Linked DNA regions of Caenorhabditis elegans. The protein of the gene in region 3 purifies or fractionates together with the protein of the main gene of each other region. This does not show direct contact. Each region holds a gene or a part of one and is shown on either strand. Other genes may lie near its edges.

The links.
Region 1: the proteins of chch-3 (region 3) and nduc-2 fractionate together in Caenorhabditis elegans (co-fractionation; one large-scale study listed by BioGRID). This does not show direct contact.
Region 2: the proteins of chch-3 (region 3) and ndub-6 fractionate together in Caenorhabditis elegans (co-fractionation; one large-scale study listed by BioGRID). This does not show direct contact.
Region 4: the proteins of chch-3 (region 3) and dif-1 fractionate together in Caenorhabditis elegans (co-fractionation; one large-scale study listed by BioGRID). This does not show direct contact.

Annotation. Positions count from the first base shown.
Region 1 is NC_003281.10:2,782,562-2,789,995, forward strand, and holds nduc-2 (NADH dehydrogenase [ubiquinone] 1 subunit C2), read left to right. Parts: upstream 1-4,290; 5' UTR 4,291-4,300; coding exon 4,301-4,646; intron 4,647-5,328; coding exon 5,329-5,402; 3' UTR 5,403-5,467; downstream 5,468-7,434. Other genes in the region: Y71H2AM.6 (DNA/pantothenate metabolism flavoprotein C-terminal domain-containing protein), read left to right, coding at 1-210; Y71H2AM.20 (Serine/threonine-protein phosphatase 2A activator), read right to left, coding at 265-390, 1,374-1,738, 2,586-2,928, 2,974-3,063, 3,130-3,255, 3,306-3,383; cox-6B (Cytochrome oxidase c subunit VIb), read left to right, coding at 3,643-3,699, 3,747-3,866, 3,930-4,118; tbcc-1 (C-CAP/cofactor C-like domain-containing protein), read left to right, coding at 5,884-6,088, 6,146-6,270.
Region 2 is NC_003282.8:11,647,810-11,655,274, forward strand, and holds ndub-6 (NADH dehydrogenase [ubiquinone] 1 beta subcomplex subunit 6), read left to right. Parts: upstream 1-4,593; 5' UTR 4,594-4,599; coding exon 4,600-4,706; intron 4,707-4,759; coding exon 4,760-4,862; intron 4,863-4,914; coding exon 4,915-5,031; intron 5,032-5,096; coding exon 5,097-5,207; intron 5,208-5,260; coding exon 5,261-5,394; intron 5,395-5,443; coding exon 5,444-5,504; 3' UTR 5,505-5,623; downstream 5,624-7,465. Other genes in the region: ZK809.8 (Cardiac phospholamban), read right to left, coding at 959-976; acl-3 (Tafazzin family protein), read right to left, coding at 3,106-3,312, 3,413-3,692, 3,749-3,845, 3,891-4,010, 4,060-4,210; ent-1 (Equilibrative nucleoside transporter 3), read right to left, coding at 5,893-6,207, 6,307-6,392, 6,441-6,953, 7,003-7,097, 7,176-7,342.
Region 3 is NC_003280.10:9,415,461-9,422,752, forward strand, and holds chch-3 (MICOS complex subunit MIC19), read left to right. Parts: upstream 1-1,552; coding exon 1,553-1,635; intron 1,636-1,698; coding exon 1,699-1,864; intron 1,865-1,913; coding exon 1,914-2,057; intron 2,058-2,105; coding exon 2,106-2,168; intron 2,169-2,458; exon of another isoform or gene 2,459-2,547; intron 2,548-2,602; coding exon 2,603-2,656; 3' UTR 2,657-2,856; downstream 2,857-7,292. Other genes in the region: gss-1 (Glutathione synthetase), read right to left, coding at 1-96, 143-813, 866-970; M176.4 (lysoplasmalogenase), read left to right, coding at 5,020-5,129, 5,245-5,434, 5,946-6,161, 6,208-6,402; M176.11 (YhhN-like protein), read left to right, coding at 6,811-6,965, 7,076-7,207, 7,257-7,292. UniProt on the Caenorhabditis elegans protein: Plays a role in maintaining mitochondrial morphology. May act as a component of the MICOS complex, a large protein complex of the mitochondria.
Region 4 is NC_003282.8:7,548,982-7,556,522, forward strand, and holds dif-1 (Protein dif-1), read right to left. Parts: upstream 3,894-7,541; 5' UTR 3,884-3,893; coding exon 3,589-3,883; intron 3,515-3,588; coding exon 3,021-3,514; intron 2,907-3,020; coding exon 2,757-2,906; 3' UTR 2,676-2,756; downstream 1-2,675. Other genes in the region: pam-1 (Puromycin-sensitive aminopeptidase), read right to left, coding at 1,064-1,208, 1,778-1,823; oef-1 (C2H2-type domain-containing protein), read left to right, coding at 1-65, 110-216, 260-489, 541-730, 1,893-2,046, 2,388-2,437; F49E8.6 (Early nodulin-75-like), read right to left, coding at 4,674-4,835, 4,881-5,144, 5,190-5,264; F49E8.7 (BACK domain-containing protein), read right to left, coding at 5,665-5,979, 6,027-6,579, 6,626-7,086, 7,133-7,291, 7,338-7,382. UniProt on the Caenorhabditis elegans protein: Seems to play a role in the maintenance of tissue differentiation in the developing embryo, but not for its initiation.

The DNA.
Region 1 (7,434 bases), on a different chromosome or scaffold from region 3:
GCAAAAGCTGCTCTCTCCAAGTACGGCCATCAACTCGTCATCGCGAATATGCTATCAACTCGCAAGCAACGTGTAACTCTCGTCAGAAAGAATATTGAGCAAGGAGAGGAGATTAATCTTGCTCCGGGAGCCCCCGAGCTGGAGATCGAATCGTTTATAATCGATCGTGTTAGCGCTTTACACAGACAATTTATTGATGCACAAATGTAGATATACAGTCATGATTTTCACGGAAAATGAATAAATATTTTAATATAGTAGAGATCATGCATCGGCCATTGGTGGTGGGCAGTGCTCGTTGGGATGTTTCTCACTGTGAAGACGTCGCAAGTCTCCAGATTCGACGACAGATGACGAATGGACGGTTGAAGTGTTGGCGGCGGATGGGATCTGAAATAATATTTGATTTTTCAGGGGGAGTTTGTGAGAAAAATGATGGAAAAATCAATTTTTTATCACCCTCTTTCTGAAAATTTGCGTTAATTCTGAAAAAACCACTTTTTTTACAAAAATTTTTTATGGTCGGTCAAAATATCGAAGAAAAAAAAGCCAAATTTTGCTAAAATCTGAAATTTCGCACACTTTTCTTTGTCACAGCCGCTGGATTTTAATTTTTCTGAAATTATCACCCTTTAATCCTTATTTTGGTGATTTATCTCATTTTGATCATTTTTGGGTGCCTATCGGCCTAAAAGTTGTCTCGATCAACGAATTTCCGCGAGATAAATCACCAAAATAAGGATTAAAGGTTGATAATTTCAGAAAAATTAAAATCCAGCGGCTGTGACAAAGAAAAGTGTGCGAAATTTCAGATTTTAGCAAAATTTGGCTTTTTTTTCTTCGATATTTTGACCGACCATAAAAAATTTTTGTAAAAAAAGTGGTTTTTTCAGAATTAACGCAAATTTTCAGAAAAAGGGTCATAACAAATTGATTTTTTTTCCTAATTTTTCTACTAATTTTTAGAAAAAGAAACAAAAATCTTGGGTTTCATTGGTTTATATACACTTTTAATATACACTTTTTGTAAGTTTTCTACGGGAAAACTCGAAATTTAAGGCGATTATAATAGCTTTTGTTGAAAAATTTGGTCATTTCTCAATTCTTCCAGCAAAAAATCGTAATTTTCCATACAAAACGTTTTTTTCTGACAAAAATCAGTTTTAAAAGAATTTTCTGTTTGAAGGTGAAAATTCAGCGGTTTAGTGCGTTTTCAGTGAAAATTGGTTTTTCTGCCAAAAAAATCACCACTTCTTCTCGATTTTTTCCATTTATTTTTCAAAAAAATCAATTTTTCCAGTGAAAAATTGAAAATTTCGCTTTAAAATCTCTATAATTGTCGATATTTTTACCATTTTCTTCTCCGAATTAACCTTAAAAGCGAACATTCCATGCTGAGCCGGAGCTCTTGGAGGCATCGGATCCTGTGACGGAGCATCTTCCATAGATTCTCTTGGATGCTCCGATCGATCAAATGAGAATAAAGAGCCGAACATCATGTGCTGAACAACTGGAAACTTCTTTAAAACTTCTCCTTCATACATTTTAAACATTCCACTATTGACTTTTTTCCAGTGTGGAACTGCTGAGATATTCCAAAGTTGATTTGAATGTTCGTGGAAAGGGCCGGTTTTTGTTTGATTGATAAAGTTTACGCAGTCCAGGAAAAGACTTGTGTGGGCGTGAGTCTCAACAATATTCTTTTTTAGGTAACTGTCCGGCACGATACTTTTTGAACCTGAAAATCGAAACAATTTAAGATTTTGGAGCGGATTTTTGGCTATTTTTTGGCATTTTTCAACATATTTCAGGCCTATATAAGCTTTGGAAATTCAAAAGTTTTTTTTTTTGTAATTTATTGGTAGAAAACTAGATTTTTAGGTGATTTTCTAGTAAAATTTTATAATTTTTTTTCTGAAATTTTCACAGAAATATGCTTTTAAGCGGGGTTTTCTAGAAAAATTGTAGAAAAATTTTTTTTTGTCATTTTCGGTGCCTTTTTTAAGTTTCACAGGAAATTTAGTGAAAACTAGCTTTTTTTGAAGTTTTCCTACGAGGAAATGTTGTAGATTGAAGATTTTAAACGATTTTTCCCGGATTTTTAATAGGAAAATCGCGAAAATTGATGATTTTTAACGGAGAAATTGAGGATTTTTCAATGAAAAATTGTGAAAACTTATGATTTTTAAAGGAAAATTGCCAAAATTTATGATTTTTTGGCAAAAATCGCAAAAATGTGATGATTTTTTAATGAAAAATCGGGAAAATTGTTGATTTTTTATTTAAAAAAAATCGCAAAAATTTGTGATTTTTCGACAAAAATCGTGAAATTTGATGATTTTCAACGAAAAAACGGAAAAATGCATGATTTCGAATGAAAAATCCTTGAAAAATGAACGTTTTTTGAACAAATACTGTGAAAAAAGACATTTTAGATAGAATTTTCCGACAATCTGTGAAAATAAGTCGGTTTTTCTTCGGAAAACGACTTAATAATTGTGGTTTCTTGAGAATTTTTGAGTTTTTAATGGAAAATTCAGCTATTTTCCTGAATTTCAAGACTTCTAGTTGCTCCAACATATTACCAATAAGCTGAGCGCTTCCAAAAATGAACGGCGCGAACTGAAAATCGTCAATCGCATGAACTCCACGACTTCCAGCCGGCTCCATCTTGAATCTGGTCTGCAGATGACGGCACACTCTCAAATACTTGTTAAAAATGCGAAGAACGAGCACTTTGTCATCATTTTCTGTGAAAACGCCCAACTTTTGCAGGCAAAACAGCAAAATTAGGAAATTCGCCTCGTGTCCCGAGCCGTAATCGATTCGAGTGGCGTTTCCGAAGGATTCTGTGAAATATGGAACCAGTTCGACTAGAGCATCGTGGACGTTTTCCGGAAGAACGCTGGCTAGGAGATCTGGGGATTCCTGGAATTTTTAAAATCTTTTTAAATACATTTTTGAGCTAAAAACCTTGCAAAGCTTCTCATAAAACTTTCTGTAAGCTTTATTGCCAAATCTTTGCTCGGAAACATCTTCCAGAGGAATTTCCTCAGCCCATTTCTGAAAAAAATCCATTTTTTATTTTTTTAAATCTGGTTTTTCGTAATTTTCCGTAATTTCTCGAACCTCCAGCTTATCCAGCATGTCGATAAAGCTGATAACCAAGTCTGTGCATCTCATGTCTGCAGTTGTATGAACTCCAACTACAGAATCATTCAAACGATGCAAGAAAGCCAGGTACTCCTCGTAAGCCTGCAAATTTCCATTCATAATCCTTCAAATCGATAAAATTTCTGTTCTACCTTGGAAAAGTACCACGGATTCAGGTCGAACACATTTTTAATCATCTTTTCCGGCGGTTTATACGAGTTTTCAGCCATTTTTCTGGAAAAAAATCTATTTGTTTTGATTTCTAGAACTTTGTTATGTAAAAAAATAATGCAGCAAGTGCGCTCCAACGCAAAACCCCATTGTGGAGCGTTTTGTGCGTGAGAGGTGTATAGGAGTGTGTGGCTCGCGCAGCGTCTTTAGTGAAAAATTTTTATTGATTTTAAATATTGTTTAATTCGGTTTTCACGGATTTCTGAGCTTTGAAAATAACCGCCCGTGTTTAAATTTCAATTATATTCAATTTCAGTAATGCCTGTCGAAGTTGAGGTTCCCCCAACCACTTACGAGAGACTCCAGCAATACAAGGTGAATTTTTAGCGTTTTTCTTCATTTTTATCGATAAAAATTTACAGGAGAAGTTCTCCGATGCTCTCCGTCATCCAGACTCGCCAGACTGGTACAAGAAGGAGACCCACGAGTCTGTGAAGAAGGATCTTCTCTGGGCTGCTCCATACGACGCCAGATTCCCACAGGTTGGTAACTTTATTTAAAATTTATTATATATTAATTAATAATAAAAATGTACAAGTTTTCAGGTCCGTAAGCAACGTCAATGCTTCGCCTACTACGTCGATTTCCATCGTTGCAATGAGCTCATGGGACAGGACTACAAGCCGTGCAAGTTCTTCCAAAATGTCTACAAGGACTTCTGCCCCGGATTCTGGACCGAGAGATGGGACGAGCTTCTTTCCGAGGGACGTTTCCCAGCTAAATTCGATCGCTAAATGAGATTGTTCGATTGTATTCGAGAACAGGCGTTTTATTAGTGCTGATATTCGATAAAAAGTGTCACTTGTAAAATATTTTAAACACTTTTATTTCTTATGGCGTTATGAGACGCTTGAAATATCTCATTTTTTTTAAAAATCATATTTCCCCCAAATAAATAATTTTCTCAGTGGAAACCATGGCTGACTCAACTCGCGTCAGCGAGAAGGAAATCGAGCGCCGCGAGACCTTTATTCGCGCAGGACACAGAGCTCGTCACCTGGCCGATCCATTCACATGGAGCTACCCATTGAAGGGTGCCAGTGCAATGCTCGGAATCTCGCTGGCTTCGGTTTATTTGCAAAATCGATGGAACAAGAAGCCGTACTACTACGCAATTGTTCCACGGCTTTTGCTCATCGGAGCCGCCACCGCCGCCGGATACGCTGCCGGAGCACTTCGAGAGAGACACTATCAGACGAGAGACGCAGTCATCGAGCACTACATGAAGCTTCATCCAGAGGATTTCGACCATTTTAATGATCGTGAGTTTTGGAATTTGCTGAAAAATCGATTTTCAGATTTTACTGCAATTTCGAAAAAAAAACCCGGCTGAATTCGATCAAATTTGAAAGATTTCGGCTTTTTCCCCCCAGAGAATACCGTATTTTTCGCGATTTTCTGTGATAAATGCAGAAAATATATACATTTTCCCCGAAAAAAAAACGCTGAAAAGGAGAAGATTTGGCTAAAATGCTCGATTTCGGACCAATTTTTGCATTCAAACACCCAAATCAATGATTTTTATCTTAAAAATAGCAAAAATTGGCGTGAAAAACCGATTTTAGCCTAAAACACCATGGAAAACTACAAATTATCGGTTTTTTCGTATTTTTTAACAGTAAATTCGTCATTGTTCATGTAAAATACTATAAATCACCGATTTTTATGTTAAATTCAGAAAAAAAATAGTGAAAATGGCGCATTTCAGCTTAATCTTCTCCTCGAGGAGTACACGAGCTGCGTAAATCGACACATCACAGAAAACTTGAATTTTGGACTAGAATTCAGTTTTTTTTTCGCAATTCTAAGTAATTATTTTGGAAATTAGTGCGAAAAAAAGGGAATTCTGGCTAAAAAATTCAAAATTTCTGGGAAAACGGAAGATTTTCTAGTGAAAAATGCAAGAAAATCATCAAAAATTCATGGAATCTATTTATTTTTCAGGCAGTGGACGTTCATTCTCTCAAGTTCTTCTTCCATGGTATCCACGCAGAACCCAGTACACCAGATACGACTGAACAATTCTCTCGAAGTCTCTTTTTAGTTCATTATTGTAAATTAAATGAAGAATTATTGATTTTTTTCCCGGAAAATTCTCATTTTTTTCATTTTTCAGCATCCATCTGGTCTTTTGAGCCGTTTTGAATATAACTAATTAACCCAGAAGCAATTTTGGGGCAAAAATACTATACTATATCCTGGGTCTCGACGCGACAATTTGTGTTAAATGCGAAGAGGGATGCGCCTTTAAAAAGTACTGTAGTTTTAAACTTTTGTTCCGGTGGTTTTTATTGATTTTTTATAGTTTTTCTCACATTTTATGAGAATTTTTGCATATTTTTTTAACGAAACTAGAATAAAAACACATAAATTTCTATAAAATCTGAAAAAAAAACTATGAAAAATCGATCAAAAATTTAAAAAAAAACTCAAAATTGTCGTGGCGAGACCAGTTTTTTGCCACAAAAATCGCGCAAAAAAACGCCAGATTTCAGCATAATGGAAGCATCTTCGGAACAAATTTTATTGGATCGAAAAGATCGATTAATTGCAAAACTGGAACAAAGAAATGAAGAACGAAAAGTGCAAACTGAAGAATGTTTATCGAAATCTGAAGGAGCACAAATCGATAATTTAATGGCGGAAATTAAATCGGATTTGGAAGCGAAAAAATCCGTCGATTCGCAGAAAATCGACCGGCTTCGTAAGAAATTTCCCCGCCTCAAACAAACAAAATCGATAATTTTCTTCAATTTTTCAGAAGAATTTCTGGCGTTCTCGACGAGTAACCGGCAAACTAAAACAATTCAAAATTTCCTTGAAGACGTTCGAAAACAGAAGCTCGCGCTGAATTCTGGACCCAAATTCAAGGGTTTTTCGTTTTCAGTTCGGTGGTTTTTTTCACTGATTTTCTCAGGCAACTCAAATCTAATATGAAAATATTAAATAGCAATATTTTTGTAGTTGGGTGATATTTCAAGATAAAATCGCAATATTCCGAGACTTATTCGAAATCTTTTTAGATTGAGCAATCTTTTGAGAATAATTCGCAATATTTTGAGGTTGATTCGCAATATTTCTGAATCTGAAAATATTACGAAAAATTCGTAATATTTTGAGATGACATAGCAATCTTTTGAGATTGGTTCGCAATCTTTCTGAAATCTAAAAATATTACAAAAAAATGTGTAATATTCTAAGATTAATTTGCAATCTTTTTGCAGTCCATAAAGATTACAAAACACCATTTCCAAATTTCCATCGGCTTCACATGATCGTGATATATATACAACAATTATGATTACTGTTTCGTTCTAAATTCTCTTTTCTTCCAAATGATAAAAGACTTTTCAAAGTAAAAAACAGCTACATGAAAATCTATATAATGGAGTATCTCACTGTTAACGGATATTTGATTTTTCGTTGCATATTGTAGAAGGAGTTTTTGCAGAGAAAGCCACAGAATTCACAAATCTGTCCACTCATGTAATTTTTTCTAGATAATTGGCCGGTCATATTACAAATTCAGTCAAACAATCACGAAGATTGGTCGAATACATTAAAGTAGACTTACAACTATTCATTCACGCGTGATGCGTTTGAGATTTTCTGATTTCAATTGAAATCATAAAATATTGTCAACAGCAAGCATGTTCCCAGTATACTCATCATTTTAATCAAATTGTTAGTGAAAAAAAATATTGAAAAAATAAAATGTTATTCTCTCTTTGACAAAAATTAGGAAAATTTGCAATTCTAACATTTTTAAAAGCATAACAAATAAATCGTTTTTCCACATTCGCTTTCAAAGAAAGTTATCCAATTTCGCTCTGACACTTAGAAAAATTTGCGAAAAGCCACTGATTTCCCATCAAAAGTAACGAAAAGGACGTGCGCCCATCAACTATTTACTTAAGCAATAACTAAATCTAGATGCGACACGTACAGGATGGCTCAACAGGTAAGATAATGGTTCATAGACTCAACGACAAGCGACGGACAAGTTCAACTCCCCTCAATGGCAACAAAAGTTCTTCGAGTTATCACAAG
Region 2 (7,465 bases), on a different chromosome or scaffold from region 3:
ACTAGTAGAATTTTCTAAATTTTCTCCACTTGTATTGTACGTTCCGACAGAGCTCTAGCCTAAAATTGTATTTTGTCAGTTGTAGACAGTTTTTTTGTTCACTATTATATTTTTGCAAACGAGATATGTTTTCTAAAAACACCTTTATTGTAGATTACATTTTGAACCAAATTCTTAGCCAACTTTAGTAACTTTAGAAACGTCAGTCGCAAAAGTACCTACCTCTGTTTGCCTACGTGCCTTTCTACATTCTATATGCACTATGAACTGATTTTTATGTTTATACAGATTTGATTTCTAAATTTTTCACTTATCCATTTCAGATAACTTATTGAAACTTCAATTAATATATTTTAATTTGATAGAATGATCATAAGAATTTTGACAGCAGGCACGCGTCCACAACGGTTTACCAAGGTTGGCAACATTATTTGGACAAAGGTAGGATAGTGGAAGGCCTGTTTGAGGTATCAAGTGAGAAAGAAATAGGTAGATAATTATAGGGATTAATTATTAAAGTATTATATAATCTCACAAATATTTCACATTCGTAGAAATTCGCAGAAATGTTAGTGTTTTAATACGAATATAAAAGTCGTTGCTCATTTGAAATTGCTCACTAAAGAAATCTAACATAACATAGACACAACGAAGTTTAATTAGATATTTTCTTCTATTTGAAAAACCACCATATTCTATAAAAAAATGTGCTAAATTCAACTGCCAAACAAGAAGGCGATCACTTCCTACCGTACTTCCTACGTTAAAACTACTCAGCTTTGCCAGCTTATATCTCGCTCGTCATTTGTTTTATCAAAGCAATTTCAATTGACGAAATATTAATTATTCCCTTGGCTATAGTTTTGCGTTTACTTTATTTTTGCTATTTTTGAAATTAACTGAGATATAAAGCTTCAAAGTGGAACAGGACTACTCCAAAAACAAAATCAAAACTTACTGTAGTTGACTTCATCATTTTTCGTGTTTTTTTCCAAAAAAAAAGTACAAATAAATTGAAATAAGCGCTAAATAATTCCTGAATCAGAGACCAGTAAGTTGCGAAGAACTAAGAGTTTAGAAATATAGGTGAGGAGGCGGTGTCTAGCTGTTTGAGGTACTTGATATTGAATGTTGATATTGATACGTACTGATCAGATAGATAAGGTAAATAGAAATTGACTTATAATGAGAATGTGGAAAAGAAAGATAAAAAGGATAAATTTTCAGATAGGACCGAGTCAAAATGACTCAACCAGCAACATTTTTGAGGAAGAGAAAGGTATCAATGAGAATGTGGAGACTCCGCCTTGTCTATAGGACGCCTGTTTTCTTTTTCCATGGCTCTCTCCGAATGGCACATGATCTCTGTGAGGGAGAACCCTTCAAGTCAGAATCACTCTACTTTTCACAATCTTTGTGTTTTCTTTCATCTTCTTCTTATTTTTCTGCTTCAGGCTCCGTGCTGCTCCTTCCAAATTGATAGATTTGATGATATCCAGTGATAAAAAAGAAACAGAGGTCACTTTTGATCGAGCCAACCATGAAGGAAACGAACAAACAAAAATGTGTTATCAAAGAAAGAGATATCGTGGTTTTCGATTGGATTTTATCAAACCACCGCTCTGCCATACTTCGATATCGAAACGTCAAAGTGTGCAGGAGATTTGTGCGAGCACACGTTCAAGTCATATGGCTCTTTTGCTCCGAGAGCAGGAAGACCGCTTGACACCGGATAGCTTTTCCTACATGTACACAGTGTCACTGAAAAGTGTATCAGTGATAACTGATTGGAGAAAATGAAACGTTTGAGGAATGATACTAACATGAACGTTATCGTATCTTTGAACTCTCTGAAATGAGATTTTAAAAAAATTATTGCAGAAAAATGCAAAAGTAATAAAGGAAGTTTCTGAAAACACAAAATCTAGGAATTACCTAGTTGCAAAAGTCAAGCGATTTTCGCCTAAAAACACGATACCCGGTCTCGCCACGAACAAATTATTTTAAACTCAAATCTGCTATGAAAGGTGTGCTCCTTTGAGTAGTAAGTACAGTAACCAACTTCCCGTTATTTCCTGTTCTTTATTATTGTTTTCTAGTGTTTAAATTTAGATTCTCAAGAAAAATGTTCTAATAAGAGAATATTGCAAAATAACAGGCAAAGGATTACTGTACTATTTAAAAGCGCACACCTTTTTGCGACTTGGATTTAAAAAAATTCGTGGCGAGAGCCGGTACTGTGGATATTTTCACTAAGGATCGTATAATATGCAACTGGTGCGATTACTCTGGAATCTAGACCCAAAAAAACTGAAAATACCGATCACTGGAAATCTTGAAAAAGCTGGAAGACGACGATAGGCATGCACATAGGCCTGAAGATATGCCTACTTACGGTTGAAGTCTAATTGCACAAAATGTTCAAATTTTCAACTGTTGTTCATAATATTTCACTTGTTGTTTGAAACATTGAGCTTGTTTTTTCATACTCAGATATCATGAACATTCTCGTGATAGAACAACAAGCTCAGCTGTGAAAGATCAGTGAACTCTGATCAGTCAGTTTCTGAAAACCCTATTGTGCATATTTCAGTTTCAGATTTTACTTGGATTCTTGAATTGCCTACTCTAGATTTCGCATGACGGATGCATTTCCTTTGCATATGAATGTAAAGTTGTTAACCTCCATATGATATGTCATGCAAAATGTCATTTTCTATGTTATTTTTCTTCAATCCATGAACCCAGAGAAACTTGGTATCATCTTGATTTCTCCCGCCCGTTTGACACGCCGCCATCTGCTCCTGCTGCTCTTTGCCGTTTGGCACGCCATTAAACCAACGACTCGATTCGACGTTCTGAAACGATGAGAGGAAATGGTGAAGGAGAACAGAATGATGATCTTAAGATCAGAGCTTGAGACGAATTCATCCGGGATTTCAAGGGAAGAGAAAAAAAAAACAAAAACAGCAAGTAGGAAAGAAAATGGCTATCACGTACATAGAAAATGCAATAAAAGTTGTGTTATAACAAAAATCATCAAACCAAGAAATAGAAAAAAAATCTAAATATTTCCTAAAAAATTAAAGCTATGGGGAATCAAGTTTAATATTCAATTGGCGGATTTTTTCGAAGAATTTCCAGTGACGATCCTTTAGGAAGATCACCAACTTTCTCTCCCAATTGATACATCCGTGTCTGAACTTCGTCAGTGATGATTTTTCGCATTTGTTCAGTGGTCAGTGACTTTGATAGAACTGTTTTCTTGAGATCAGACAGGAAAAATGGCTCTCCGATGTGAACTGTTACGGTCTGAAACGGAAAAAAATGAATAATTTCACTACGTTTTTTGCAGATTTTATATTTTTACGTCTAAATTTGATTATTGAACTTGAAAAATCTTCCGACTTACATTTCCAAATTTAGGATAGTATGGAGGTTGTGTTGGCCAAACTTTTTCCATCTCTTTACACCATACAGGCAATATTACTGGATCGGTTTTAGCATCCATCACAAGCCTTCCAATTCCCCACTTGAATCGTAGTGGTTCACTTTCAAGAGTACACACTTTTCCTTCTGGAAAGATATGAACCCATTTATTATCATTCAGCATATCCACACAGAAATCCATTCCTTTTTGATAAACTCCTTCTCCACGAACACACGGAACACAACGTCCTAATGAGAACATTCTGAAAAATAAATATGCGACGATTAATTTGAAAAATTCAAGAGAAAAAACTCTTACGTTGTATGGAACTGTTTTGTGAAGCAAATGTTGTGAGCTGCGAGAGTGTATCTATTGCGATCTTTGTATCTCCAAAACTCACGGAATTTCAGAATACCTGAAAATAGAAATTAGGAATGCTATAATAAATCATTCGGCTTACACCACATGAGCGGGTCGTCGATATTTGAGCGATGATTTGAGACTGTGATGAGTGGTTGATTCGGATTTTCCAAAATCTTGACGAATGTCTCTTTGTTGTGGCATATCAACTTATTGGATCCTAAAATGTATCGAATTTAATAATTTTAAACTTTAATTAAAAGACAAACCTCCAAGGAACATAAGTTTGGAAACTGAAGTGACTAAACTCATTGTCATGTATGATTTTATACGGTACAGAAGTGACGGTTTTTTTGGAAAGGGCCATGCAAACCGGAAGCCTTGCACGTCATTTGTTTTATCCCGCATTGTACCCGACATCGTGCTGAAATACTTTTAAAGTTTAGAAAAATCTTTCGAATGGAATAATAAAGTGTTAGAGAACGTGGAAACTATATTAATTTTAATCAGAACAATGCAAGAAAAAAGAAAGAGAAAAGTGCGCCGCGCGCTTGCACCTCGAAACTCCGCCTTCTTTTGCAAGCCGCAACGGGCTTTTTAATAAATGGCAGATCTAAATTTAACTGCAAAATAGTTTGTTTTATTCAAATTTGCTAAAATTTTATTGATTTCGTATGTAATTTATGTTAAATTGTTATATTTCGTTGTCATGTATCATGTTTTTTGTGTGCCCGTTCATTATTATCGATTTTTACTCAGTTTATATTTAAGCAGTCTCACAAATTCATAAAAACGAATTTCAGGCTCAAATGGGTAACCAGTATGTGAAACCAGAACGCACGGGCAATTCCCCTTATACCCGGTCCGGAGTTCCACCACCGGCGCTTGTCAAGACTGGTGACAAGCCTCTTCACAGGTAATTCTTTTAGATTCTGTTCAACAAATTCTATTCAACACAAAAAAATTCAGAGTGAATGACCGCATGTCTCTCGAGCTCCACATGGCCGATGAGCGTGTTCGTGCCGCTGGTTTGAGCCCAGCCGAAAGAGAATGGAGAAAGAAGTGGGTTCATGTGAGTTTTTACATTTTTTGTCAATTGTTAATACTAAAATGTTTATGTTTAGGACCAGCACCTTCACGCTGACGAGCCAGTCGTTGTCGATGCCGTTCATCGTCAGTTGAACCCAATCAGAACCGCTTACAGACTTCCATGGGACAAGTTCTATCTTCATTACCTCAAGGTGAGATATATTTTCTTTAAAAAAATCAATTTTTTAATTTGAATTTCTCATTTATTGCATTTCAGCCAACATTCGGAGTTTACTATGGAACCGCTATCAGAGTTACAGCTCCAAAATTGCTCATGGCTTTCGTCGTTGTGCAGACTGCCTATTATTATTGGAAATACGAAGTCAAGGTATTCAATTTTTTGAATTTTATATTAATTTCACGAACCATTATCTTTTCAAGGACTGGACACATTTGAGAGGACTTGAATCGATGCCACAAAAAGAAGTTATTGCTAGTGCTCCAGCAATTGAAGAGAAATTCCCTGGACTCATGGATAAGGGACTCGCCAACCCATCCAAGGATGACTACTACACGTGAGTTAAACAATAATTTGTGGAATATTGGAAAATTGAAACTTTTCAGACCAACATTTAATAAGCGTACTGCTTACCTCGATGTTGGAGAGACAAAACGACCGTGGTAATCGAAAGGAAACGAGTGACAATCAGTCATTCGAATATGTACTTTTAGGGTGTTGTAGACGAATTTTTAAAGTTTTTTCTTTGTTTTTGACCCTACCGTAAATAAAAAATTTCATGAATGATTTATTTAACCAACTTTCTAGGTTTTATTCATAAAAAACAAGTTGAGATTATAAAAAAATAGGAGAACAACGAGATGGTGCTGCGGAAATACCTGAAGAAGGAAAATAACAAAGAACAACAAAGTATTAAGAGGTATTTTAAGGAAAGAACACTAGTGGATAAAGATACTACAGAGGAAACCTTGAAGGTTATGAAAGAATTTACGTTAGGGAATTAATATTGCTAATGATGAGGTTGATGGGAATAAAATAAGGAGGAATAAGAAGTTTAGGCCGTGACGACCATCTTGATGACCATTGTGAAGATCAGACCAGAGACAATTCCAGAGATGAGGAAGAATCCGGCCATCATTCCAGCGACCTGAGCCTTCGATGGATCAACAGTCTTCGAGGTGTACATCATGGCGAGTCCCGAGAAATATCCACTTCCAAAGCTCATCGAGGCGGCGATAATGACGAAAAGCCAGGTGGATTCGAAAAAGACGGGAAGTGAACGGGTCTCAGGGAGATAGTTGCAGAAGATGAAGAATGGAATATAGAGGAGACGGAGGTAGACTGGAATCCAGAGCTTGTTCGGCGCAGGCTGAAATAAATATTGATATATTAGATTATTCTAATTTATTCAAGTTTACGGTATTCCTTCAATCAGATTTTGCCAAAATCTCAAAAAATAAAAACATACCCATTGCTTTCTTCCGGCGACAATTGATCCAATAAAAGCGAACACGTTGAATTGAAGGAATGTGGTCACATCCATGAAGTATTTTTCTGAAAATTCACGGTTATGTATTTCAAGAGAATTGATGAAAAACTGACGTGGCAATGGGAAATCGTAGACACCTCCTTTCTTCTCATCCTTAACATACATCATGACTCCTGGGAAGATGGAAAGAGTAACGAAGAAGACCAAAAATACGTTGATGAGTTGTGGGAAGGCCTCCTTGAAAGTTGCGATGTAATTAGCCACTTTTCCTTCGCTATCAACTGCTTCATCGTTTTTGTTTCGTTGTCTTTCGGCACGGGTACTGTAATACTGGTAGAAACGTTGTTTCTTGAGGATGTGGAAGGAGATAAAGCAGAAGACGAGTGTGATTAAAGCAATGGAGAAGTAGGCGAATGATCTGTCCAAGATGTTTCTGGTGACAGCTTTAGTCGACATACTGAGCAGGGTGACGAAGGTTCCACACAAATTGTTTCCAATGATCACAGCATTGGTGTACTTGAAAGGAAGCTCCGATGCAAGACCGAAGATACTGTTCTGGTATACTCCATTTGCTCCATTCAATACAATAATTGTGATGATGGTGAGTGTGAAGAATCCGGTGAGCCCTGAAAACGTCTGGGTTTATAAAAATAATAGAAAGGGATGATGACTTACATGTGGAGGTTTCGACGTAGATGAACATCATTGTAGTGATCACACAAACAGCTACAATTGAGAGTCCGACAGTGATGCGACTAGCAAGTCCTCCCCTGAAAGTTTACATTTTATTTAGAACTTAACGAAACATTGAACTGCAAGAATTTATCTTTTAGAAAAAAGTTGCTCACTTGACGACAATGAAGATGTTGAGAAGATTGAGAAGAAGGTTCGGGACTTGAGAAGCGATCGTTTGGAAGCTTTGGAAGTTGGATGAGTAGACAGTTGGATATCCAGTAACTACTCCGGTGTCCATGTCGATTGTTGAGTTGGCGAGCATTTTGTATGATTCGAAATACTGCAAATAATGATTATAAGCGAATTTTTTACAATTTAATACATTTTCTAGATAATTTCTATTAGCTCACATTCCTAAAAAATGGTTTCCATGCTTTGAAATAGGCTTTTAAAATATCGGTGA
Region 3 (7,292 bases):
GATGGATAATGATCAGGTGAGTATCCTGCTCTGAAGTAAACAATTGCTACTTGACGCCCATCAATCATCAAATCGCTTCTATCATTCAATGATAATCTGAAAGTTTTAACATAGAATTCTGTATTCAAATACAAAAACTTACTGTTCATAGCATTGTGTTAAATTTCTTCTAATAATACATGTCATCGGTACTCCTAACTTTTCAAGTTCATATTCCACGTGGCGTTGATCAATCTGATTTTGATTGACGTTTTCTACAACGACAAGAACCACAGCTGCTGGGTTCGAAAAGTGGGACCAGGCCTTGAATAAAGCTTCAGCGATCATTGGAATTGGCTTGTTTTCTGGAATTGCTCTTTGAATGACGTCATCGGAAATGTTCAACGCTTTAAGAACTCTGATATGCCATTCGGTGAGCCGTAGAGCATGTGCTCCCATTGACGAGGCGATATTGTTTATTTCAATTTGTTTCAGTCCATATTCCGCTGAATATTGATCCTTATGACACATATAATCAGATCGTTGAATCGCGAGAGTGACTGGTTGCTTGAGTCCTTGGGCTTTGACTTTCTTCAAGATCTCAACCATATTCCGTGTGAAATCATCAGTTTTCACGACATTTTTATGAATATCGATTAGAAAATCAAATTCATAAGCTATGAAGTGATAAAGACTTGCGAAAAGGTTCTGAATATGAACTGCTTCTTCAAAAACATTTTTCGGGAATGGAGATGGAAGAAGTGTTAATGGAGTAGTTTGACAAACTTCGCTGCTCAACTTGTCGGTTGATAGACGCATGACAAGCCCATTAGCCTGAAAGATGTTTAAAATTCATTGAAATTCGGAAATTAAGAAAAAAACTTACATGAGCCCAATCGTGAAGATCAGCGGTGAGCTCGTTGAGCTTATCATCTTCGAGCGGGAGCCTTGGAGCATTCAACAGCAAAATCCGGTCATCTTTTTGAGCCATTCTTGAAAAATTACGAATTATTTTTTCAGTTTTAAATAAATGCTTTCGAAAAATGCAAAACATGACGCGAGAGTGACAAAAATGAAATTAAGCGAGAATGAAATGAGAAAAGTGAGCACTGAAATCGTGATGACAAAACGTATAACGTGAGGTTTCTATGTTTTGTCATCATTTCTCTTTGAAGGAAGTCGGAGATATTGCTTTTCGAGTGGTAAAAGGAGGTTTGAACGAGTTTATGATAAAATCTTGGATGCTTATTTGTTGTAATTGACATGAATAATAGTTATTACATGAATTTAACAGGAAAATTTGAAAAAAAGAAAGGGATTGGCATGAAATTTGCTCCCGAAAACAAAGAACTCAAAGAGCAAAAATCATTTTGGTGCTAAACGTCACGTTTTGCGTCAAGGAGCTGCTGGCGCACATCTCGTGCACGAGTATTGCGCTAGCTATTTATTTTACGCTAATTTTTTGTTTCTATCAAAATTATTTTTCTACACACAAAACAACAAATAAACAATTCAATTTTTTATATTTAATTTCTCGTGTCTGTTTAAACTTTTATTAATCGATAATTGTCAGATGGGAGCATCCCAGAGTGCAGAACAAGAGGCACGTCCCGAAGTGGTGCGCATTGACCGAAATGAGATTCCCGAGGAGTACAAGTGAGTTTTTTACGTTGGGAATTCTTTTGAAACTAGGAAGTTTTTATTTATTCAACGTTTCAGAACCGTCGGTGTATCATCGGACGTTGTGAGCCGAGTCAATGCGACCAGAGTTGCCGGAAACGACGGAGAAAGTGACCGTCTCAGACAAGAATTGGCTCGAGAGCGTGAAGAAAAAGCTAGATTAAGAGAAGATATGGCTAAGCTCAGTCAGCTGCAACAGAGAAAGGTAAAAATCAAAAAATCTTTCCTGATAGGATTAAACTTAAAAGTTTCAGACCGCTGGAATTTCCGCCGCCCCAGTTTCGATTTCCGGAAATGATTTGGAGGAGAGAAAGAAAATTTTCGATGACACTGTTGAACGCGTTCAGAAGCAATTCTTCGCTTATCACCGTGAAAATGTGTGCCAGGATAATGAAAATGTAATTTTTAATTTGAGAAAGTTTTTGAGAATATCCAACATTTTTCAGGAGATTGTAAGATGTCTTCAAGAAAATCCAGGACGTGTTTTGAAGTGTGCTCCACTTACTGAGGTAAACTTGGGAAATTTTTTAGAATCACGAGCAAAGTAAAAAATTAAAATTTAAAAAAATATAAAAGTTGTGAAAATTGTTTTAAAACAATCACTAACCCACTTGAATTATTTGAAGTCTTGCATAACTCTCAAATTGGGAATAATTTTGAAACTATTTTTTTTGTTTTCATTTCAACTTAGGAAAAACTAAAGTATCTAAATACCAGGAAGGTTTTTTTTTTAATTTTTCAAAAAATTGAAGATTTCCGAAAATGAAAGTTTTGGCAAAATTCCAAAATTTATGAACATTTAGAGTAAATTTTGAAGGCATATCCTTTTCATCCCTCTAAAAAACACAAATACTAGTTCAATAAAACAAACAATTGTTTACATAGTTTGTAGGCTACAATTAATTAAATTGTGATACAAATTATTTTCTTTTTATAATTTCAGGCATTCGAGAAATGTGTCGGCGAGTTCAGGCAACAAGTGCTCAAGGGAAATTAAATTTCTTCATATCGATTTTTAAATACATTGTTTCATATTTCCCCACATTTTTTTGATCGTAGTGTTGTATAGGTGTGTGTGCGTGCCCCGTTTTCTCAAAACTTGTATTTCCCCCTCAGCCTCCCACCCAAAAACTTTTGCTTTTTTATTTCAAATTTTTTTGTTCCACGAACGAAACAATAAACTTCTAGGGAACTTTTAAATCCGTTTTCAAGTTATATATTCCAAAATCAAAACAGGCATTTCGCTCCTGTACCCATCTTTCCCCTTACTTAATTTTCAGATATTTTTCACTATATTTTCAGAATATTTAAAAAATCAGCTACGCGTTGTAGCAAATTTTTTTTGGTACACAAACACAGCTGATAACAACAGGACACACAACGCAGTGGGACTGATGATGGGCGGTTCCGTATTATCACCAGAAAAATGAGGTAAAACGGGTTATTTTTGAATAGATTTCAGATTTGATTCTCGCCAGTACACCTGACTAGGTTCGAATTTATTACTGTGTGGTCTTGTTGACTTTCAAGATTCTAACTTTTTAAAACTATTATATGGACACCTCGTTTACGTAGTCGTCTACAGATAACATGGTCTCGCCACGATCAACGGGTTACTGTAACTCTTGTCGATTTACGGGCCAATATTGCCTTGTCGTTTTAAAATTTGATGAATAACTTGTTAAATACAAATATAATGCAAAAGCGACTCGTAAATTGATAGGAAGTACAGTAACTTGTTGTTGTCCTCGTGGCAAGACCCATGTAGAAGATAACTTCACGCAATGGTCAATAACGCTTTATCTGGAGAGCTAGGGAGCCACCAACCAAATCTCTAGTCGTCTGGTCAATGTTTCCGAACGCACAACACTCACATTTTTCGCGCATTTTTCGTTCTAGTCGCCTCCCATGTCTTCATCTTCGCTTCCATTCTTCTTTCTTTTTTTTTGCTCCGAATGCGTTGTAGAAAAAAGTTTTTTCCAAAGTAGCAAAACGTAGCTCCATTTTTAATTCGAAAAGAACATAAATAGTCAAACTGCTTGCAAAGCAAACAAAAATCGTTTCCAGTGCCTTTTCTTAACTGATAAATATGAAATCGATTTTTTCCTGGAACAAATCAAATTTAACTAGTTCACCAATTTGAGAACAAAAATCATACAAATTTGTGACCGCGGAAGTGACGATAAAGTTCAAACAAACACTTGTTCCTTCCTATCATTGTCACGTGCCACGTGCTCACAGGATCCGGAGCCAACCCCTGAAGCATACCACAAAAGTGCACCTGACGTCTCACGCAGTTTCAGGTTAACTATCAAATTTCAGTCCTTCACTATTTCTCTTTAGAACAATTTTATCGTCCACAAAATCTAAAATCTTAACGCCTCATCCAATTAACTTCAACCTTCAAGATAACTGTAACATTCACACTTGAATCCAATTAAGTGTATCAAATTGTGTAATAACTTATTGCCAAGAAACGAGAATATATTGAGATGTTGGAAGGTTGGACACCTTTATTTACGTGTTACACACCTCCCTCTCAAATTTCCGCTTCATCCTCTTGTCGGAAGAGGTCGATGGAACTGGTTTACGCGTTTTTTATTTGGCGCAGTACAAAAAAAACACCTCTGAAAAATATGAGGTTATTGTCATTGGTTTTGAAGATTATTAGGTCTATATTTAGGTTCTTTATTTTTTTGTTGGAACGACTATTTTATTTTGAAACTTGTGTCTTCAAATGATAGTTAAAAGTTTAACGATGATTTTGAAAACTTTGGAGAATTGCCAAATTGGCCAGTTTTTGATAAATTACAAAATTTTCTTTTGTTTTGTACAGTAAATGGAATAATTTCAAACTAAATACAATTTTGCTTAAATTAATTCGTCTATCAGCATAGTGTTTTGCAGAAAAAAGACTTGTAGCTGGCTCCAACCACAAGATTCAAATAGTGATTCCTCGATCTGCAAAACTAGAGAATAGCCAATATAGTCAAGGTTCACCGCTATCAATTTCGACGACAGAAAAGTATGATGATAAGACTATCGTTGAACTCTTACTACTGCAAAAACCAACACTTGAATCCTGAAACGAATTCCTGTTTCCATCACTTTGTTGTTTTTCTAGCTTATTAGAATACGAAAGTTACATCATTTCCACTCGAGACCCTAATTGACATACCCTTCTGAAAACTAGTGCACTTAGAACATCTTACCTCCCCTTATTGGACGCTCTCGATATTAAAGTACAAGTCATTCTAAAAAGTATGTATTAGAAAATTGTCTAGCTTTAAACGTGCCCCATATTTTGTTAAAATTAATTTCCCGGCATCAATTTTTTGTTTATTTTTTTAATTCTTCCAGATGCAGTCACAGCTTTCTTCAATTGGATTGGCTTATTTCCTATTGGTAGCCAACTTTTACTACCAATCAAATGGTTTCAATGATCACTACACATTCAGCTATTCCTTTTGGTGAGTGTATATAAATTGATAACAGATTGATATAATTTCAAAGGTTCAAAGGTTTTTTTAAAATGTACATTAAAGTTCAATATTTATACTTTCATAATGTACCAAAATGTTTTAGGAAAATAACTCCAATCATTCTACTTGTTGCTTTTGCATACTTAAATGGAGGTGGACTAGGAAAAGAGCAACGCAAAACTGCTGCCGCTGGCTTGTTCTTCGGAGGAGTCGGTGATTGGATTATTGGAATGCGCCATGATGGAATCATTTTGGGAGCTGTCGCTTTTGGAATTGGTCACCTCTTTTACTTGGTGAGTTTGGTCATTGAAGACATAATTTCGAGATGTAACAATCAAATATCATGTACGTGGTACTTTGACACTTAGATATTAACTCGGTCCAGAAGAAAAATTTGGGTAGAAGATTGACAAAAGATAGGCATCTAAACTTGGGCCTGGTCGAAGCCAAGTTTCACCCAAGTGTGGATTAAGTTTATATTCCGAACCAAGATAAGAATTTTCGGACAATGCTAAGCATGTGGTTGTTGCCCAAATACCAAGTTTAATAAAGGAAAAATTCGTAAATATAGATTTCTCCAATATTTTTTTATCAACAGATCAATTTGACAGTAATTCAGAGTTTCAAAAGGTTATTATTACACAAAAAGATTATAAAGAACATTGTTAGTAGTCTTTAAAAAAATAATCGGGGGATATTCAGAGAATCGCTAACTATTTTCTAAAAATTGGAGAAATGTCAAAGAACAGTTTCTGAAATTTTTTACCTATGCTCAGAATTATCAATTATCACAGAGCTTTTCAGAGTCTCTACCGGCAACATGCCACCAAAATTCATACAAAGTTCCTTCTTGGAATGTTGGCATGGGCTTTAGTCATTGGACAACTTTGCTTCATTCCGATGCTTGCTGATCATAGAGGCCCATTGACTGTCTTTGCCAGTTATTCACTTCTTCTATCAACGTGTACGTTGATAGCTGTCTCACAGTATCTCAATGGATCAAAGTCACAGAATGAAGAGGTTTGATTTAACTGCACATTTGATATAATACAATTTTCTATTGCAGGGGCTCCTCTACCGTGCCATTGGCTTCTTCCTCTTCTACATCTCAGACTCGGTGCTCATGCTCTCACACACTGGATATTGGAAGTTGGCTCCATCATTCTGTGTCCTCTCAACCTACTACTCTGCTCAATATTTCATTCTTTTTGGAAATACGATGGCTGTGAACCCTGTGAAAAAATCTGTAAAAATCAACTGATGATCACTAACTTCTGAACCTGTACATATTCTATTTACAGTGTATTTCTCCCTTTTTCCTATTTTTTGAAAATATTTCTTACAATTATGACTAGACTACCTAATGTCAGAAGCTTTAATATGAAATATCTAATAAAGTTCTTCAAAATAATTCTAGGTACAAATTTTTCGTCAATTGGGAAATTTGAAACAATGGTCCTGGAACTTCCTTATAATATCTGTATGCTTTGTAAAAAACATTTTTAAAGCAAATGTTTTCAATATTCACATTGCCCATTTGCACGTGCAAATGTTGATGTTTGCTCGTTGATTCTTAATTCATAATTTTATTATATAAATAATGTTACAAAGTCTTGGTTTTCAATTATTTTAAATTATTTTTAGCTGCTAATATACTTAATTTATTTAGATGTTATCACCTGCCCAATGTCTAGCCATTTATGGCGGTTCGACGGTTTTGGCGTACATTGAAACGTCAAAATTCGAGAAAAATCATCATATTCTTCTCAGTGCACCTCTAGTGATCTTGTCTATTTTGACACTTGCAACAACAATGAATCCAAAGTGAGTTGAGCGGTTATAAAACTTATTTTTAGCGTATTTAAATTTTCTTTTAATTTATAAAAATAAGACATTTTAATAATAGTTTTAACAAAAATATATGACTTCTCCAGAGCCCGATTCGCCACTGCCATGTCATTTTTAATGTCCGCCATCGCGACATACTTCCAATCAGTCAACCGTACTGGCCCAGCTTCCGCTATCTTTTACACAATTGCCAATGTGTTCTATTACTTCTCATATAGGTATTAAAAAGCCAACTTCCAGTTTGAAATCTAACTATTTCATTTTCAGAGACATTGTAACTTCAGTTTCTTCTCCAATTGTGTT
Region 4 (7,541 bases), on a different chromosome or scaffold from region 3:
CGAGCCAACTAACATCGAGGAAGATGCAGTTTTGGATGATCACGAATCAGAGAACATTGTAAACAGTAAGAGTTCGTTCATTTAATTTTTAATATTTCGCTGATAACAGATATTCCGCAATTGTTTATGGTAAACTCAATGGATGCTGAAACACCAAATGACTCGATAATCGTTGAAAACGGAAAGGAAGATCAACTTGATATGGCATATTGTTCGGTGAGACCCCGACAATTGCGTCAGATTCAACTACAATTTTCAGCTGTGCAAGCATGAAGTGGAAACCGGTAGAAACCGAAATACAAAAATTAGGAAACAGACTGAACATGTTCTAGACGCCCACCCAGAATCGGAATTTCTCAATGTAGACATAGCAAAACGCTATGAGTGTGTCCACTGTTTGAGAACTCTTCCTGTGTCGAAATCACCATGTGAACATATTTCTGAACACCACGATAAAACCCACGTGGAAATTGAATTTCGTGACTTATGGTAGGAAAATCACATTGAAGAAATGCTTTTAAAAATTCGATTCAAATTTAGGTCCAATGAGCAAGTGTCAACTTTCAATTCAGTTATGGAAAAATGCTTCTTGCGTCATCTTCCAGTTCCCAGAAGCCGTAGAATTCGAAACGGAAACACCTGGTATCTCTCCGAAAAGGCCTCGTACAGAATTGTTCGAGGAGGTGAAATTATCCATATCAGCACTGTGGCTGATAAAAGCAAAACAGATGTGAGTTGTTGAAAAAAGGTTTTTGTAAATATTTCAAAAACATAGAAATAAGCTTTTGGAGAAAAAATTAATAGAAACTGGAAGAAGTCGTGAAGCCTATCAGTAGAATGAAATGTTTCAGAATGACACAATGTAAGATCATTAGATTTTTCGTGGAAATTGCTTTAGATTGGTGTGAAAATGATAAACATAACAGACGTATAGACAAATAGGGTGAATGACGTTAGAACCCACCCTTCCATTTTCGATAACGAAAAAGGATAGTTAGAGGTTGGCACTTCGAGACACTATTGTCATCAAAAACACATACACACACCGGGACGCAGAACTGACCCGTGTTCGCCTCTTGCCGTGCGATGGAGCATGTTTGCTGTTGTGTGGTAGGGACGGCACTGGGCGCCGGCGACAAATGAAAGACGTCGGATGGCCGAAAAATTGCGCAGGCAAAGCTGATGAGTGTTGACGGGCTTGATGGATGCTGTAAAAATGTTAGAATGAACAACAGGCGAAACAGCGATTTTTGAGTCAAAAATACGGTACCGAGTTTCGACACGAAAAATTTCATTTTAGGAGTACTGTAACTTCAATCTCTCGTTTTTCTCATTGTTTTCCAATAAAATTGATGTGTTTGTTCAAAAAATAGGTTTAAAACAGGATGAAAATGTTACAGAATCGAGATTTTGAAACTACAGTAATCTTTAAAGGGGCAGACCTTGTATTTAAGAAAAATTTGTCGTGTCGAGACCGGGTACCGTATTTTTGGCTCCTGTGCTGATCTTAACGGCTAGGATGTTATTATTCTGACCATGCTATTGCTGATATCTAGATGACCAGATTTCACAATATTCAGTAGTATAGTTGTGCACAGTTGATCAAGTGACACTTATCATTTAATATTATTGTTTCCACGAATTCAGAGTACTGAATTTATCAGCTGTCAGTCTTATCAACTCACATGACCAAAATCTGCAAAATCTGCTTTTTTTTGCAATTACTTCTAAGCTATGTAAAATTACAAAATTTCCTAGAAAACGGGAAATTAATTACCTTTACTGCAACGGACAGCCTGTCGAACTGCTAATCTTCCCAGCATTCTGAAATCTGGAACGACAGAATTACAGATTTTTAGTATATAATTTTGTAAAATCAATGTTATTTTTAGAATGGAAAAGAAAGCAAGCAAAGTCGTCTGGATAATTCTGAACGCGGAAAACCTACACGCTCGATGGATTCAGACTATGATATTTTTGATAATCAGGATGAAACTGATTCTGAAGAAGGTGCTCGAAGCGAGTCTATAGATACAGGAAATAAAGGTAAATGTCATTATTTAGATTAGAATTTTCAGCTTTCTTTTGGATGGTTTTGAAATATTATCGCTCTCAGCATTATTTTGTTTTTTTCCAAATTTTTGTAGGAGTAGTAAATATAGTAAACGTTTGAAAAGAAATTTTTATTGATGATTATAATTTTCGGTGTTTTTAAAACTTTTTTTCAATACAATTTCTTCCAGAAAGGTTAGGTTTTCTAAAAAAGAATTTCTAAATTAAAACTACTCATTTCCAGAATACTCTTATTTAGTGTAGGTTTTTCAATTAATGAAATTCAATTTAACTCCAATCATCACTATCCCAATCGTTTAAAATTGTGAAAATAGTTTCAGAAAGTGAACCTGGCAGTCTTCAGAGCGTCATCGATCTAGAATAGTCTTATCTTAAATGTTCCCCTGTTTTTTTTTCACCATACCCGTTGTACTCTTTTGTTTCGATAATTGTTCTGCATTTAATGAACCTGTTTCTCAAAAAAAATTGTATAGCGACAGCTGAACACGGTAAATATAATTCAACATTGAGCACTTCTTGAAGTTCATCAAAAAATTTACGATTTTCATGTAGAAATATACACAACATACAAATGCCCAAAACATGGAAATAGAAGGCAACTCGGGTAAATGTTTTTGAATAATGAAAAAAATATCAAATAAATATGGTATAAACTAATTAGAAAAATGAGAATTTTCAAAAATTTACTCGTCGTGTGGGAGTGGAACAACTTCTGTAGATGGTGTTGGGTGTCCACCAATGCCAAAGTAACGGAAGGCAGCCAACGTGAGTTCAAGTCCGAAGAAACAGGCAGCGTTTGCAGGGAAAGCACGGAGCATTACTGGCCAGAATCCCTGAAATTTATACAAATTGTAGCTAGAAATCAGGTAAAGTATATATGTATGTAAATGTGTCGAGAAATGACGAAAAATTCACTTGCATCGTCCCAATCGTTTAAAAAAAATCACCTTGAACAGAGCTCTAGGACCCTCTTCGCGAAGAACCTCTCTCAAAACTCCACGGATTCCATCTGGATACTTTCCTTCAGGGGCTGTTTGTAATCGAGATTTGAGAACATCAGCTGGAATACACACTCCCCAATTGGCAATACCAGCAAGTCCTCCAGCCATCAATGTTGCTCCTGGTGACAATGTTCTTTGAGCTCCTTCTCCAGAGAATTTCTTTTTTAGATATTCATATACTGAAAGATAAGCGGCTGAAGCTGGGATGTCTCTGAGCAGAGTGGCACCAGTTCCTCTGTAGATTGATGAAATTCCTCCTTGTTTATATAGTTTTTTGACAACATCAAGTGGACCATCGTAATGAACTCCAGAACCAGCAGATCCAGCTTGCTGAACTTGAAGAAGACACTTGATTCGTTCACCAGGAACCATCACAATTGTTGTGAAGACTCCAGCAAGAGCTCCAGCATTAGCGTTTTGGATGAATGTCATCTCCTGGCCTGAAATGCAAAATGGTAAGATTAATTCTCATATTTTCAATTTATTTGTTTGCCCATGATGATTTAGTACTAACTTGGATCAGTTTGCTGCAGCCATTTTCCAACTGCACATCCTCCGAAAAAAACTGCAAAAAGTGGAGAAACACCAACAAGTGGAGCTGCCATTCCTTTGTAGAGGGCAAAAAATCCTTCTTTGGAAACTGTTCGTTTGACACAATCAAGAGCTCCGGTAAATTGTGGCTTCTCCCCTGGTTTTGGCATTGGCATAGTTTGAATTCGGACTTTGACAGTATCGAATGGATGTCCGACGATTACGGTACATGATCCACCGACTCCTCCTGCGATGAAATTCAGAAGAACGTCCGACATTTCAATGCGTCTGAAAAATAAAATGTAAAAACTTCGATCTGATGGCTGAAATTTTCCGATATTAAGTAAGGTTAATGTAGAAATTAAGTGGTTTTTTGATTTAAGAAAAATACCTGAATCCTGTTATTTAAAAAAAGGGTGATAATATTTAGTTTTGTTCAAGTTAATACATTTCTGAATTTAAGAAAACCCTGTCAGGCCTTGTAAGAAATGTTTAACTTATCTTAACTTATCTTATCAAAGAAAATTGCACTTTAAACGCTAAATTTCGAATATAAAATTTAAAATTGGATTTTTAGGAGTTTTTAAAGAACAGTAAAGCTTTTTTATCCTATTTAGATCGATAGTGGGAACGAATGTTTACGAAGATATCAACAACAAAAGGAAGATAAAAAAATAAGTGAAGAAAATGTTTGTGTGTCCGACCACGTCGTTGCTGTGAGGGTTCGCCACAAATAACAGCCAATGAACACAGAGATTGCTGGACTACTCTCCGAGAAAGAGAAGATAACGAAACGTTATTGAGATAGTACAGAAACCGGGGAGACGCAGATAGCATTCGTTTTTTGCACTTTGCCCTTCAGGAAGACTACATCGTGGCTTATTTGTAGTCTTGGGAGAAAATAAATGCATAAATGTGGTTTGATCAAAATATCGTTCAGGTAAAATGACTAAATTAAGAGCACAAAAAATGAAATCGCAGAATAATTATGATTTAGTATGCAAACAGCAATCACAGATGCAAAGGGAATACAGTGTTGAAAATGTTGAAAAATCTTCAGCGAAATTATCATAGTTTTTCTTTCACTTCCTGCGAGAGAACCTGTTCGTAGGTTGGAGGTGGCGGCAGGTTGCCTGAAGACGTCGGGAGTGTTGGTGGAGCAGATGAAGATGGACCTGGTGGTGGAGCACAGTAGGGAGGGGCGAACGACGGGGTTGAGCTGTTGCCATGCTGAAAGTGGGTATGGTAAAGTTGAAATTTAAAAATGTGTGTTACCGAGTAGAAGTAATACGATCCTGGAGCAGGGGGAATGTTCCTGTCTGGGACTCGGTTTGAGAAGTCTGGTCCGTCGAGGAATCCCTCACAGAAGTTGTCGTAAGCCCCAGGCAGATCGGTTCTTGCAAATGCGACTGTAGTAGTTGGAACCGATTGGAGTTGTTGGCCAGCGGAGGTGAAGTAGAACTCGTTTTGTTGAACAAGCGGACCTTGTGGATATGTTGGCATCGGATAGTGGGCAACTTGCGGAGGAGGTGGAACGGCCTAAAAAAATCAAATTATTCATGATTTAAAGTTAAGTAAACTTACACTTTGCTTCGGATAGCTTGGTGCTTCATTCATTCCACTTTTCTTATCGGTTTTCTTGCTTCCAAAAAGTGGCATTTTTCACTTCTCGTCGATCTCAGAGCAAAAAAAAAGAAATGAAAAGAGCAGCAGCGTGAGAAATGAATCAAGATCGATGAAAGCGCGCTCTCTGCTGTCCACAGATGAAAATGCCTAGCAACGACTTACAAACTCGCTCACTGATCAGTTTTCAGTGCACACACTAATCAGAATAGCACTGAAAAACTTATTCGCGTTTAAGTTGAAACAAGTGGAAGAGAAACAAGTGAAGTCTCGTCCTACGGCCGGGATACACATAAATTTATGTTGAAAAAGGAAAAAAGAGCAGAGAAACAAAGAACAGAGAAAACAGCATTGAGAATAAACAGAACAGACAACGAAAGAGTACTCAGAATTGAAAACCAACTGAATCAACAAGGAAATAATAATACTGCACAACTTAATTGGCCAGCACTACTTTTAGATCTACAATAACCTGATTTTCTGAATCGAAAAAACTGGCGAACATATGTCTTCCAGGGCAAGAATTGCCATGATCAGTGAATAAATCTCTTGTTTCTTGCTCAACATTCAAATTGACTCCAATTTGGCGTCCATTGGCGACTTGTGGTATACATCTTTTCACTGCACTCATTTGAACATCTGTAGAGTTGGTAAATGTGAGTTCATAGTTTACAACTCGATCTTGGTGTTCGCTGGCGTTGAAGAAGAATGTGTTCACTATGTAGTCGATTTGTTTTTTCAATTGAACTTTCTGCAATGAGAAAAAAAACCAATTAGAAAGACAAAAGAGGAACTTACCACTGATGAACCAACTTTCAATGGTACAATTCTTTTCAATATGATCGTTTGCATTGGGAATAACACCAAGAAATCTCTGCCAGCAGTATAGACGTTCCCCTCGTTGAACATGGGATCAAAAAGACGACTTCCTGAGCAATCAACGATCAATTTGCAATTCAAAATAATTTCTTCGTCTCCAAGACACACTGGTTCGCATCTATCAAACAAGGGACAGTTGAAAAGAGTGGTAGAAGTGAAAACATCCTCGTCATCCCATTCAATTCTTGCAGCATCTTCAATAGAAGAACATGCTTCTGTTCTTAATCGAAGATTCAATACTTTTGGTTGCCAAGAGAGCAGCATCATACGGAAGAGTTCAAATGGGATGAAATATGACACTGGCATCACTCTTTCCACAAGCTCTTCGCTGTATGCCATCAGAATATCCGGTAAAACCATTGTTAATTTGTCAACTTTTGTTGTTCCAAACTTCATCTTTATCTGATCCAGGAACTTTTTTTCGTCATCAGAACATGAATAGTCAAGTTTATGGGCAGTATTCTCTAGAAAGCTGAAATAATAAGATGTAAATAATATATTTAATAATAATAGCTTACAATGAGGCAATAGCTAATTCCTGAAAATGACCTTCCTTTGGCGCAAGATCTAGCAATGTAATCAGTGGAACAATTGGAGGTTGGTCGCATTGACAATTATTTTGAATCAACTTTTCGATTCCTGCTTTCATCCATAATAATGGATTCAAAATCTTCCTGCAATTGATCGGTGGGAGCCCAAATGAGTCAGAGTCGAATGGAAAAATTTCTGCACTTTTTACATTCAGATGGAACGATTTAATAAGATTTTCGAGATGGAGTATGACAGAGACTGTAGATGTTCGAATATTGTTGATAAAAATCGGTGTTTTGTTGAGATCAGTTTCTGTCAGTGTTTCCAATTCTGCCCATTTCGACTCATCAAACGGTAGAGCAAGCGTGATTCGAATGTGCTCAAAATATGAATTGACTTTCGATAGGAAAACTTCGCTGAGTCTGTCGGAACGAGATTTCAAATATTCCTGAATGATTTGAAAGTTTATCATGTAAAAAAATCTCTAGACTTACTTGCCATTGAATTAAGATCCCGATAGTCTCTTCAAAGGTTCCACTGCTTGTGAAAAGAGGAACAATTATTTTGTCATTTAATTGCTCGTCGCTGACTTCTTCAAAAAATACATCATCCTTGTCTATTTTCCTTTCGACAAAGTCAATCTTGAGTCTTTTCTGAAGTTTTGACGGCCACTCCATTTTAATAGTAGAGATCACTTACCCATTGAGTTTGTGTGGTGACTGAGTTCTTCGATTTTTTGCCCATTGCAAAAATATAAATAATAAAAGGAATAAGTATCCCCGAAAGCTTTTCAAAGTTAAATTAAAGTTAAAAAAAATAGAAAAAAAATAATGTTTAACAATAAGTACGCAAACACCGTGAAGAAACATCGGAACTGACGCGCAATGTTGGTAATGGTGTTTT